2 linked regions of the Tribolium castaneum genome follow. The protein of the gene in region 2 binds, or shares a complex with, the protein of the main gene of each other region. Links are inferred from orthologs where the notes say so. Each region holds a gene or a part of one and is shown on either strand. Other genes may lie near its edges.

Region 1 (6,323 bases), on a different chromosome or scaffold from region 2:
GATGTTTATGTTGAATGTTGAATGCAGTTGCTAAAATCATTTTTAAGCAACGACATTGCATTGTTCACTGAACCCATTTACTTGTAAAAATATTAATCTTTATACTCATCTCCCATGAAAAACAAGAGAAAATTTCAAACGCCCGTAAGAAAAGCATTGAATCTCGCATTTGTTTACGAGTAGCTTCAAGTTAGTGGCCTATGAAGGCACTACGTTATACCGATATGATAGCGCGTACAATGAGAATAAGAGATAAAAATGCATAAATATATCGAAAACTATTTAAAAAAAGAAATTTTTATTAATTTGTTCCATATTTTTTAAAACGATGCGAATATGGTTGAAGATACAAAAAATGTAAGGGATCAAATAAGTTGTAAAGAATTTTATGATTTTTCTTACACAATTAAGTGAACCATATAAATTATAATCAATTCTATTTATTTCTATCAACTATTTTTTGAAGGCGAGACGATGTCGAAGCGCCTTCATTTCTGTTCTGAACCTACACTAAGTTTTTGGATTCAGAAAATCGATTTATTTTGTATCTTATTTCTACATTTAGTACGTATTTAGTTTTTTGGAGGGAGGACTAAATGAGATACGAGATACTAAACTCACTCAAAAAAGTAGTGCGGCACAGTAAAAATAATTTACGTCGTGTCGCCTCTTAATAGTTTAGTCCTGCTTGGTAAAAATACCATTTTTATATAACATTTAGGTGAAGTTGCTTGGGGAAAACAGCCCTTTGACAAAACTGGTTGTCGACTTGAAGGGGGTTCACCCCGATGATGCGTTTTCGGTGGTTCCCTACGAAAAAGGCCAAACTTTTTTGCGCTACCTTGAAGAAGTAGTCGGCGGACCAGGTAAACAATTAACTGCATTTAAGCAAAAAAAAAAACAGTCGGTAATTGTAGCTCAATTCGAACCATTCCTCAGAGAGTACTTCAACACTTTTAAATACAAATCCATTGACACGAACGACTTTAAATCATTTTTCGAAAAATATTTCGCAAGCAAGGCGGCCATCAAATCGGTTGATTGGAACACTTGGCTTTACGGCACCGGAATGCCTCCAGTGGTTCCCAACTACAACACGTCCCTGGCTACCAACTGTGACAAACTTATGAAACAGTTTGTCGAGTGGGATGAAAAAGCTGCCTGTCCTGTTGAAACCACGCACATTAAGAATCTTGGTGCCGATGAAATAATTTACCTTCTGCAAGAAATATGGAGCGGAAAACCATTGTCTATTCCCAAACTTGAGCAACTGGACAAGTTGTTCGAGTTTAGTAAAGTGAAAAATTCCGAAGTTAAGTTCAGATGGTTGAGAATTGGTTTAAAAGCGCACTGGATGAAGAGTGTTGAACCGACTCTGAAGTGGATCAATGAAGTGGGAAGAATGAAATTTGTGCGCCCCCTGTACAGGGATTTGTACGCTTGGGAGGAAGTGAGAAGCAAGGCCATCGAAAACTTCAAGTTGAATAAAAATTCAATGATGCACGTGGTGGCTTATACTGTTTCTAAGGACTTGCATTTAACGTCTTAAAACTGTGTTAAATAAATTTTTACGCAATATTTAAATTGTTTTCTTTCCCCCATTTCAAAATTTGGAATTAATGTATTAAAAAAATGAATAAGCAAGATAAAATACTGTGGCTATTTGATATTCGAAAACTTTTTGACTAAAATAAAAGAGTTTGAGTTCAACATTCCTTAAATCATTGTTTTCATTATCCCAATTTTGTTGTTTTTCATCTATCAGAGTGTCCACCATTACCTAGGGAGTTACAATTCAAAGAAAAACTGGAGATGTGAGATGCAACAAAGACAGACACATCATTTTATGAATTAACGTAAGTCACGTAGTAAAATTTGTAAGCATTTTGATTGGGCCGTTTGAGGTCGGCCATTAAAATTACGGAGAAAACCAATCACTTTTGAATTTTTGATTCATTGAAAAATTATAGTTTTGGATATGATTGGTCCATTTAAGGTCGGCCATTAAAATAATGTGGGAAACCAATCACTTTCAATTTTCGGACTCATTCCATAATTTATTAATGGGAATTGTTCAATGGTTTATTGTTCTTAGTTTAAATTTAAAAAAGGCAGTCAATAAATATATCTACTTTGTTTTAAATGGTCTCAAAAAAAAATTAAAAAGCAAGATAAAATAATGTGACTATTTTATATTTGAAAACTATTTTCTTAACAAAAAATTATTTCAGAATGTAATCTTTCGGATAATCGATAAGTTTTGGAAATGATTTAACTTCTTCTTCAGTATAATGGTCTAGTCTCTTTGGCATTGGTCTAAGTTGTCTTATTTGATTAGAAACGTTTTTCATCAAATCTGCCGGTACATTTTCATCAGCAAAAAGATGCAGCCTCTCCATTGTGTGCCGTCTCTGCAAATTGCCGGCCATGCTTTTATAAACTGCTTTTTTGAGAATCTAAAAAAATGTTTACACTACTTGGTTCATAAGAGGAATGTTAATTAACTAATTTCGGGTCCTTGCTGTGTAATTCCCAAGCTAGGGTCCAAGACGCACCCCCAGGATAACCCGTGTGGTGAAAATAAGCCCGTTTCTTCCACTCTTCTTCAGGCATCGCGATCTCATTAGTGTTTATAACAATTACATGGTCACCACAATCATCTGAAACTGATATTGAGCAAAGAAACAACACCCGTTTGCCTTAATTACTCATTGGGTGGTAAATTGGTTTATATAAGCCCATTAAATACTTTTTTATCAGTTGCGCGGACTGAAATGGGTCCTGCCAAGCGGCATCGTACACATGCCATATCCTTGCAAAGGTGGCCCATTGCTACAATCCATAGACAATTTTATGCAATTTTACGACCAACTGTATTTACCTGAACCCTTTTTACCACAGACATGCTTGTTATTATTGTTACTTTTTTGTGACACTTTTTAGTGAGGTTGAGTTTTCATAACCTTACATTTGTTATGTAAGATCCAGCGTGCGGTCTAATAATCACGAAGCCGAAACAAAAAATTGTATTTTTAGTTGTTAAAACTTGATTGTTTTTGATAATTTTGCAAGTTCTAGACCTGTAAAAACTAGCTAAATAATTTCTGAGTAAAAAAGCTTGTGAAAATGATTATTTTTCACAATTTCGATAACTTGGAGATTCTACCGCAAAAACTCAGCGTTCTGCGCAAGTACTGACGCTTTGAACTTTAGGGGTTATGTTTAGATCAGTTTTGTTGATTATTCGTGAAATAAAAAATGTTTGAGGCCCAGGAAATTAATGCCGAACACAAGGACCTAATCCACGATGTTGCGTACGATTTTTACGGCCAAAGAATGGCCACTTGTTCCAGCGATCAATACGTTAAGGTTAGTTAGCAGTTGCGTTTTCAACTTATAAGGAAAAAAAGTAGGTTTGGGACCAAAACAGCGACGGCAAATGGACTTTAACATCAAGCTGGAAGGCCCACAGCGGCTCCGTTTGGAAAGTGACTTGGGCCCACCCCGAATTTGGCCAGGTTCTGGCCACTTGTTCCTTTGACCGAACTGCCGCAGTTTGGGAGGAAATTGGTACTTTCAGTAGTTTTTATCGAGTGTGTATTTAATGTGGGTTTAAGTTGGTGAGACTCCCGGGCCTGGGGAAAGAGGGACGAGGCATTGGGTCCGTCGGACAAATCTGGTCGATTCGAGGACTTCCGTTACTGATGTGAAATTCGGGCCACGGACGCAGGGTTTGCAGCTGGCGACCTGTTCAGCCGAGGGCATTATTCGGATTTATGAGGCGCCCGATGTTTTGAATTTGAGTCAATGGACTTTGCAGTTTGAAATCCAGTGCAAATTGCCGTGCAGTTGCCTAAGTTGGAATCCTAGTTTATCAAAGTATTTTTTGCAGAATTGTTAGACGGTTTGTAAATGGTGTTTTTAGGATGCATCCTCTGATGTTGGCGGTTGGAAGTGACGATCCAAATCCAGCCAATGGAGTCAAAGTTTTTATTTATGTTTACAGTGAGAGTTGCCGGAAGTGGACGAAAATGGATGCCATAACAAACATTACAGACCCCGTCTACGATCTCTCGTTTTCTCCTAATTTAGGCCGCAGTTTTCATGTTTTAGCCATTGCCACCAAAGATGTAAAAATCGTTAATTTACCTCACGTTTAGTAAGTTTTACATTTTTCGATTATTGTTTTTTCTAATCATTTTTTTGTAGCGACAACCCGAATTCGCAGAATGTTATTACAAAATTAGATGCACAAATTGTTGCCCAATTTGACGATCATGAATCCACCGTCTGGAGAGTCTGTTGGAATGTTACAGGAACTATTTTGGCTTCAAGTGGAGACGATGGTTGTGTCAGAATGTTTAAAAGTATGAACTAAATTGTAAGCTTATTTATCGTAAGAATAATTTTTTTTGCAGTGAATTACATTAACTCGTGGAAGCCAATAGCAGTATTAAGAGGTGATGGGTCACAAGTTTCTAATGAAGGTCAAAGATCATCAGTTTCTTCAACAGTAGGGCCGCAAATCCAAAGTGCGTCACAGACTGCTAGATATATTAAACTCGGTGCCATTTCTCAACCAAGAGACGTCCCTTGGCATTAATTTTTAAATCCGTAAAATGAGAACAAGATGTATTTCACAAAATACTGAATAAACTTTTATTTTAATATTTGTTTTTTATGTTTACCTGTTTCACAACTAATAATAAAAAGTAAAATACACAAAGTGATCAAGAATCAAATACTTCCAATAAGATTTTAAATTAATTAAATTGAATTTAAACTTCAAAAATCTCCTACGAACATTTTTTGAACAAACAAAACCTTGGTAAGATGATCGATTCATTGTAGTAAAAATACTTAAAAAATCAAAACCAAATAATAATTTTGCGGTTTTGTCCTAAAGTTATTGATCATTCTTTTAAATTTTGTATTTTTGGCTCTCGAGGAGGGATAATAAAAAAAACACCAATAAATAACATGAGCCCTGTTTTTAAAACTACAGTATTTACCTATCCCGTGATCCCCTTTGCGCTTTTGAATATGCTGGGGACACTTTCCCCCGACTTTTCGCCTTTTTCGTTGGATTTTGTAGAAATAACATCAATTAGAAATGTCAAATTGTAAAAGTGCGCGCGCATGCGCTTTGATTTTCAACATGTCATTTCGAGAATTCGTCAATTGAAACTTTTGGACTAATATAAAAGACTTTCAGTTCAATATTCCTCATTTCATTGTTCTCATTATCCCATTTTGTTGTTTTTCATCTAGCAGAGCGCCCACCATTACCTAGGGAGTAAGAATTCAAAGAAAAACTGAAGATGTGAGATGCAACAAAGACAGACACATCATTTTATGAATTAACGTAAGTCACGTAGTGACTGTTGTAAAATTTGTAAGCCTTTTGATTGGGCCGTTTGAGGTCGGCCATTAAAATTACGGAGAAAACCAATCACTTATGAATTTTTGATTCATTGAAAAATTATAGTTTTGGATATGATTGGTCCATTTAAGGTCGGCCATTAAAATAATGTGAGAAACCAATCGCTTTCAATTTTCGGACTCATTCAATAATTTATTAATGTGAATGGGTCAATGGTTAGTTCCTCTTAGTTTAAATTTAAAAAAGCAGTCAATAAACAAATCTTGTTTGTTTTAAACGGTCTCCCTAACTCAAAATTTTAGTAAAAAAAATTCGCTGTAGCTCATCTCAACTGCTACAAATTGTCTTTATTGTTTTTATGTTTAAAATTTTTTAAAATTTTTTTGCTCATTTCATTAAATAGACTGATTTGTACCACCGTACCGAATCAAAACATCCATAACTGGATTAAATTCGGTATTTACATTCGAATTATACTGGAATGAATTACAGATTCTGATCGTATTCAATATAAATAATAATAAATTGTGTCTGGCCGACAAATTGTATTTGACACACCTACACACATATTTTTTTACAAATTCAATAATACCAGGCTTATTGCATATTATCTGCATGCTGTGTTTCTTATTTGTGTAATTTAAATCGGGATATGAAAAAATATTGAGTTGAACGAGTGGAAACAAATTTAAAAAATGAAATTTAAATTTGATTAAAAAATGGGAAAGGAAAATTAAACACTGGGAAAAATATTAAATTATTACTTTATTTATCAATTTTTTCACACTGTAGGAAACCAACTTTCGCCTACAATTCCTACACTTAGACGCGACTGTGTATTATTTCCGCATCGTTTGTGACTGAAATAAAGATTAAACAAACACAACCAAACAAAACCTCCACTTTACGTTAAACATATAATCTGGAACATTTTTTATTA
Region 2 (5,314 bases):
AGATATTAAGCTATCAAGCACGACTTCCGCCAATTTACTGGCGACAAACACCAACCACCACTACGTTAAATGCCTGGATGTTTACCCAAAATCCGATGCCGATTTGTTGCTAGCTGTGGGTTTATCAAATGGACGAATATCACTGTCGACATTCGGCCCCACGGAGTATGACGCCTTGGGGTTGACTGGGAAAGAACTGGTGCCGAGACATGCAAGGCAGTGTAATGCCGTGTGCTGGAACACAATTGAGACTAGTTGGGTGGCTGCCGGGTTAGACAAGTACAGAGCGGACAATTCCGTTCTCATTTGGGACATTATGAAGTCGTCCCAAAACAACGAAAGCAATTCGGGAAGGATGGCGGTTAACACCATGGCCCCAGGGGTGGAGCTCGCAAAACCCATAGCCGAATTTGGGGTTTCCGAAACCGCCCACAGCATGGCCTGGTTCAGCAGCAACAGCAAGGTGATTGCTGTCGGGATGAACTTGAAAAATATCAAGTTTGTCGACATCAGAGGTATTCTTAGTCTTTTTCTTTCTCAATTATTGTGTCTCACAATTTCTTAAATGTCTTTCCATTTGTGAAATATCAAAATCATGTGTTAATTGATATTCCCTTTCTTTTCCAGTTAATTTAGTCGATTTGGATGAATTCTTTTTATGTAAACAAAGGCCATATTTTTTCGTTAATCTAATTAAAAATAAATATATTTGGAACAATAAAGCGTAACATACATTATATTATGTGGATATTTCTTACAATCTTGCAAGTATGTGTCCATATTTATGTTCAACATAATAATAATAATAATAATAATAATAATAATAACAGACCTTTATTAAAGAAAAATGGGGGCGAAGTCTAGTCAAAGACTATTCACCTCAACTCCCCAAAAAAAGAATTATAAAGATATATAAAAAAATATCAAACAATAAGAAAAATAAAACAAGTAATATAAATAACTTCAGAAAGGTACAAATAGAAAACTTAAAACTAAAAAAGAAGCAATAGAGTAAATATGGAAATGGAAACGTAGCATGCGATGATGAACACCATAATTAACCATGGAGAGCAAGAAATCTTTGTAGAGTGTACGAAATTTATTCACCGAAACATTCAACTGAAAGAGTACAGTGGAGTTAAAAACTTTAACACCATTATAAGTTAGCGAGCGTTGAAAGATGGATGAACTAAACTGAGGCATAGAGATTTGTGTATTATGATGAATGTTGACATTGTGAATGCTATTTCTAAATCTAAATTTTTTCTAAGGTAGAATGGAGACGAAGTTGTCATAAGTTTAAACATAAGTGTACCCAATTGGTGTCGATACATATTTTCAACTTTCAACCAACGTAGGTCGAGTATTTTAGACAAAACATGATCGTATTTGTTCAAACCAAAAATGAACCTACAACAACTATTTTGGATTTTCTGTAATTTGTACTTTGTGATATTATCTAAGCAGGGATAGTATAAGATTAAGCAATATTTCATAAATGACATAACTAAGGTTTCTGTTAACTTTTTACGTAATTTGAAATTCAAAATTAAATAGTTCGCGTATAATAACTTAAGAGCAGAATATGATTTTTTAGGACCATATTAACATGAGATTTAAAACGACAATTTTCCGGACACTGAGGTTTTTATTTTACTGAACATCACACAACAATATTACTCCTATGTTCAATTTTTTTCTTTCTTTCACATATACTTCTGTTACATTCGACTGCATAATAAAACGAACTTCAAAGGTATAAGGTATATTTCTTCTCGCGGGGACGAATAAAATTATTTTAACTGAATAATGAAAATTCTACAAAACTGTTGACTTTAGACAATGAAACCTGGGTCTTTTTGAACATCGCATAGTTTTTTTTGTCGATGCTCAGCACTTCTTTTGGCAGTGTTTTGAGTTCTTCTGTATGTTGAATAAATTTTCGTGTTTGGCAAAACATTGAATTGTTGTCCCAAATTATTTGCCATTGAATCATTTATTCATCAAATTGATTATTAAACCACGTACTTCGTTGCTTATTACACCAATTGTAAACCATTACCACAACGTAGTAAAATAAATGGGAAAATCATTTAAGAAATTGTGAAAAAAAGGAAGAAAACTAAAAGAAAAAAACTACGTGAGTCTAAATAAGAACACTTTTATTTTGACTCACGCTGTGGTCGAAGATTATTCAATAGTTACTTGTAGATCCTAACAAAATCACAAATTCTACGCTAACCAAGGCCGTTTTTGGCGTTTGCATGGACCCGAACGACGACCGGCATTTGGCGTCATTTTTCGAGAATAATATTTACGTTTGGGATACGAGAAATTTCGAAAAACCCATCCTGACGCTGCACCAGAACAAGCCTGTGATCAAAATTGCCTGGTGCCCCACAAAGTACATTCCCAATCGTGCATAAAATTCGAAATTTTTGTTTATTTCCTTAGGTACAATCTTTTGGGGTCTTTGCAAAAAGAGAGCTCCGTGATTAACTTATACGACATACAGCACACTGTAATCGGGAACGAGGAAGTGGAACCGTCCGTTTTGGAGCGGGACGTGGTCCCGGGATCCCCCCACAACATAATGTCATTTTCGTGGCACAACTCCGACGAGAACCGATTTCTGACGATAGCATTGTCGGGGACCATAACAGACTACACAGTTTTCGACAGAATAACCCTCAACTGGGCCCCCACGTCCAACGTGGTGTGGACTTACGGACGCAAAACCATGAAGTACATCAACGACTGTCCCCTGCAGGACATCTCGACCAAAATCCGACAAAGGGCGCTGTCCGGCTACGGCTTAAAAGTAGTGACTTAAGTACCACTTTACCATTTTTCCGATTTTCGTTTCAAGGCAGAGATTTACAAAAACGGCGAAGTTGTGGACAACGAAATGCTGGCAAACGTGTGGAACTGGCTGTTTTTGAGCGGGAAGTTGGTGGAAGACGGGGTTTTGACCGGAACACAGTGCAAACACCCGGGGGTGCAAGCGGTTTTAAAACTTGACCCCAGTAACAACAAGTCTGATCACTATTCCTTGCTGTGGTCCGATCTGGGGAACAAAAACTGCCAAGGAGTTGTCCGAATTTTCAAGTAATGTTGCCACGAGTTGAGTCCGATTTGATAGTTCGTTACAGGCACGAGGACCGGGACAAGGCGTTGCATTTGTGCAGTTGGCATTTTGAGAGAGATTCAAACCAGCTGACCGCCTTTTTGGAGCAGCTTGAAAAAGAAGGGGCGCACACAAGAGCTGCAGCGATCGCGGTTTTTAGTTTAAAAATCCGGCTCGCGATTGAAATTTTGAGTCGGGCTCCGGAAACCCTGGCCTTCGGGTTGGGGCTAAATGTTGTAGCAATGGCACTTGCGGGGTTCACCGACGATAAGAATAGTGTCTGGAAACAGTTCTGTTCGACGGCGAAGCAAAAACTGTCCGATCCGTATTTGAAAGTGATTTTTAGTTTCTTGACTGCTGAGAATTACAATTTCGAGAGCGTTTTGGTAAGTGATTAATTTATTTTGATGGGGGTTTAAACCAGGTTGTTGTAGAACGAGAGTGGGGTAACAGTCGACGATCGAGTCGCTTTTGCTTGCATGTTTTTGCCCGACAACCGACTGCACGACTATTTAAAGAAATTGTCAGATAAGTTGATAGAAGAGGGGAATTTGGACGGTTTATTGCTCACAGGAACAAACCAGGACGGGATTAAGTTGTTGCAAAGATATTTGGACGCCACTGGTGATATCCAATCGACTGCTCTCATAGCCGTCCGTGCTTTTCCCGTGGAACAATTCTCCGAAGTTATCAAAGTCTGGATCTCGAGTTACCGCAACCTGCTTGATACTTGGCAGTTGTGGAACGAACGAGCCCACTTTGACATCATGTTGAGTACTTACTGCCCCGCCGACAAGCCCCCACAGCAAGTGTACGTTTCGTGCAATTACTGCGGCAAGACCATCTCGGCCTACATGTACGGGCTCACCAGGGGGCGGGGCCCCTTCACTCGCATTGGCGGCACCGCCAACAAACTCAAGGTTTGATTGGTTGTTTCGCAATTGGTGTGTTTCTAATTGGTTCTACAGATGTCGTCATGCCCCGGTTGTCGGAAACCGCTGCCGCGGTGTGCGATATGTCTCATGCATATGGGCACCACCACAGGGAATTTCAGCAACGAGGTCGATAGTAATAAAATTATTGAATTTTCCAACTGGTTCACGTGGTGTCAGACGTGCAGGCATGGCGGGCACGTGTCTCACATGACCCACTGGTTTGAGTAAGTTGGCACAGAATTTTGTTTAAGTCAATTATCCCGTTGTTTTAGCGAGCATTCGGAATGTCCTGTGACCGCCTGCACTTGCAAATGCTTTTCTGTTGATTCGCTCAGCAATGCGATTATTAAGTGAATTGTGATATTTTAGCTAAGATTTACGGTACTTTAAGAATTTGATTTTTGTTAAATATATACACCCAACCAACGTTTTTGTGAATAAACGTGTTTTCGAAAACCTTTAAAGGTAGCACCTCGAACCACAAAATTTAAAAAAATATTTAACAGTGTCTAAATCTTAACAGATCGCTGTGATTAACATTATTTCATTTGCTGAAGGAGTGTAAAATGTTTACTTGAGAATGAGGTCTGAATACAGACACTTAAAAATAAAAAAATGGTATTTAAATAATGGTTTAATAATGATTATTGTATTTTATTGCCAAAAGGTTACAAAAAAAACTCATTAGGGCAATATAAAGTAAAAACAAATAAAAACGAGCAGTTGAAAATGACCAATTTACGGGGAAACCCACTGTTCACCTTTCTAGTCATACGACTGTAAGGCTAACTAAACCATAATTTGTCCTGTGAGTATAGTTCTAAAAATCGAGTGGGGTATTGTGAGACTTTATACTTTATAAGATTGCATAAATCAGGAGAATCGAATAAATTATTCAATATTTTAAAACAAAAAATGATTACAGTTATTATTAATACGAGTGCGAAAACACAAGTTTAAAGTTTGAAGGCTGTGCAACGAGCGCACGCGAGTTGCATCTAGACACCCGAGAACTTTTAAGCGTTTTCGCATAAGTGTTATTCATTTTTTTGTTGGAACATTTTTATTTAAAACACGTTGCTATAAAATAAGAGTGTTTATAATCTTTTTTTTCGCTTGTTTGTCGTCAAAATTTTATTCGTTTGTTTTTCTCAGCATACCTATCATGTTTTAATTTAAAACCACTTAAAGCCGAGGCGGTCTAGCAGTCGAAACGCCCTCATTTTTCCTTCGCCGCACACTGATTTTTTAC

What was found. The genes of interacting proteins can lie anywhere in the genome.
Region 1: mio (region 2) and Nup44A share a complex: the UniProt entries of both Drosophila melanogaster proteins name them as parts of the GATOR complex. The link is inferred for Tribolium castaneum from reciprocal best matches to the Drosophila melanogaster genes mio and Nup44A.

What each region holds. Positions count from the first base shown.
Region 1 is NC_087396.1:12,235,362-12,241,684, forward strand, and holds Nup44A (nucleoporin SEH1), read left to right. Parts: upstream 1-3,113; 5' UTR 3,114-3,258; coding exon 3,259-3,369; intron 3,370-3,413; coding exon 3,414-3,570; intron 3,571-3,617; coding exon 3,618-3,879; intron 3,880-3,925; coding exon 3,926-4,159; intron 4,160-4,209; coding exon 4,210-4,367; intron 4,368-4,418; coding exon 4,419-4,603; 3' UTR 4,604-4,668; downstream 4,669-6,323. Other genes in the region: leukotriene A-4 hydrolase, read left to right, coding at 722-866, 918-1,549; mRpL13 (large ribosomal subunit protein uL13m), read right to left, coding at 2,223-2,456, 2,506-2,660, 2,709-2,832, 2,882-2,905; uncharacterized protein LOC661848, read right to left, coding at 6,223-6,243, 6,292-6,323. UniProt on the Drosophila melanogaster protein: Probable component of the nuclear pore complex (NPC). Involved in maintaining the localization of another nucleoporin Mgtor to the nuclear envelope of early meiotic female germline cells.
Region 2 is NC_087395.1:14,777,593-14,782,906, reverse strand, and holds the end of mio (GATOR2 complex protein MIOS-B), read left to right. Parts: intron 1-2; coding exon 3-515; intron 516-2,211; coding exon 2,212-2,404; intron 2,405-2,454; coding exon 2,455-2,821; intron 2,822-2,869; coding exon 2,870-3,108; intron 3,109-3,152; coding exon 3,153-3,513; intron 3,514-3,561; coding exon 3,562-4,047; intron 4,048-4,095; coding exon 4,096-4,286; intron 4,287-4,334; coding exon 4,335-4,416; 3' UTR 4,417-4,526; downstream 4,527-5,314. UniProt on the Drosophila melanogaster protein: An essential component of the GATOR subcomplex GATOR2 which functions as an activator of the amino acid-sensing branch of the mTORC1 signaling pathway.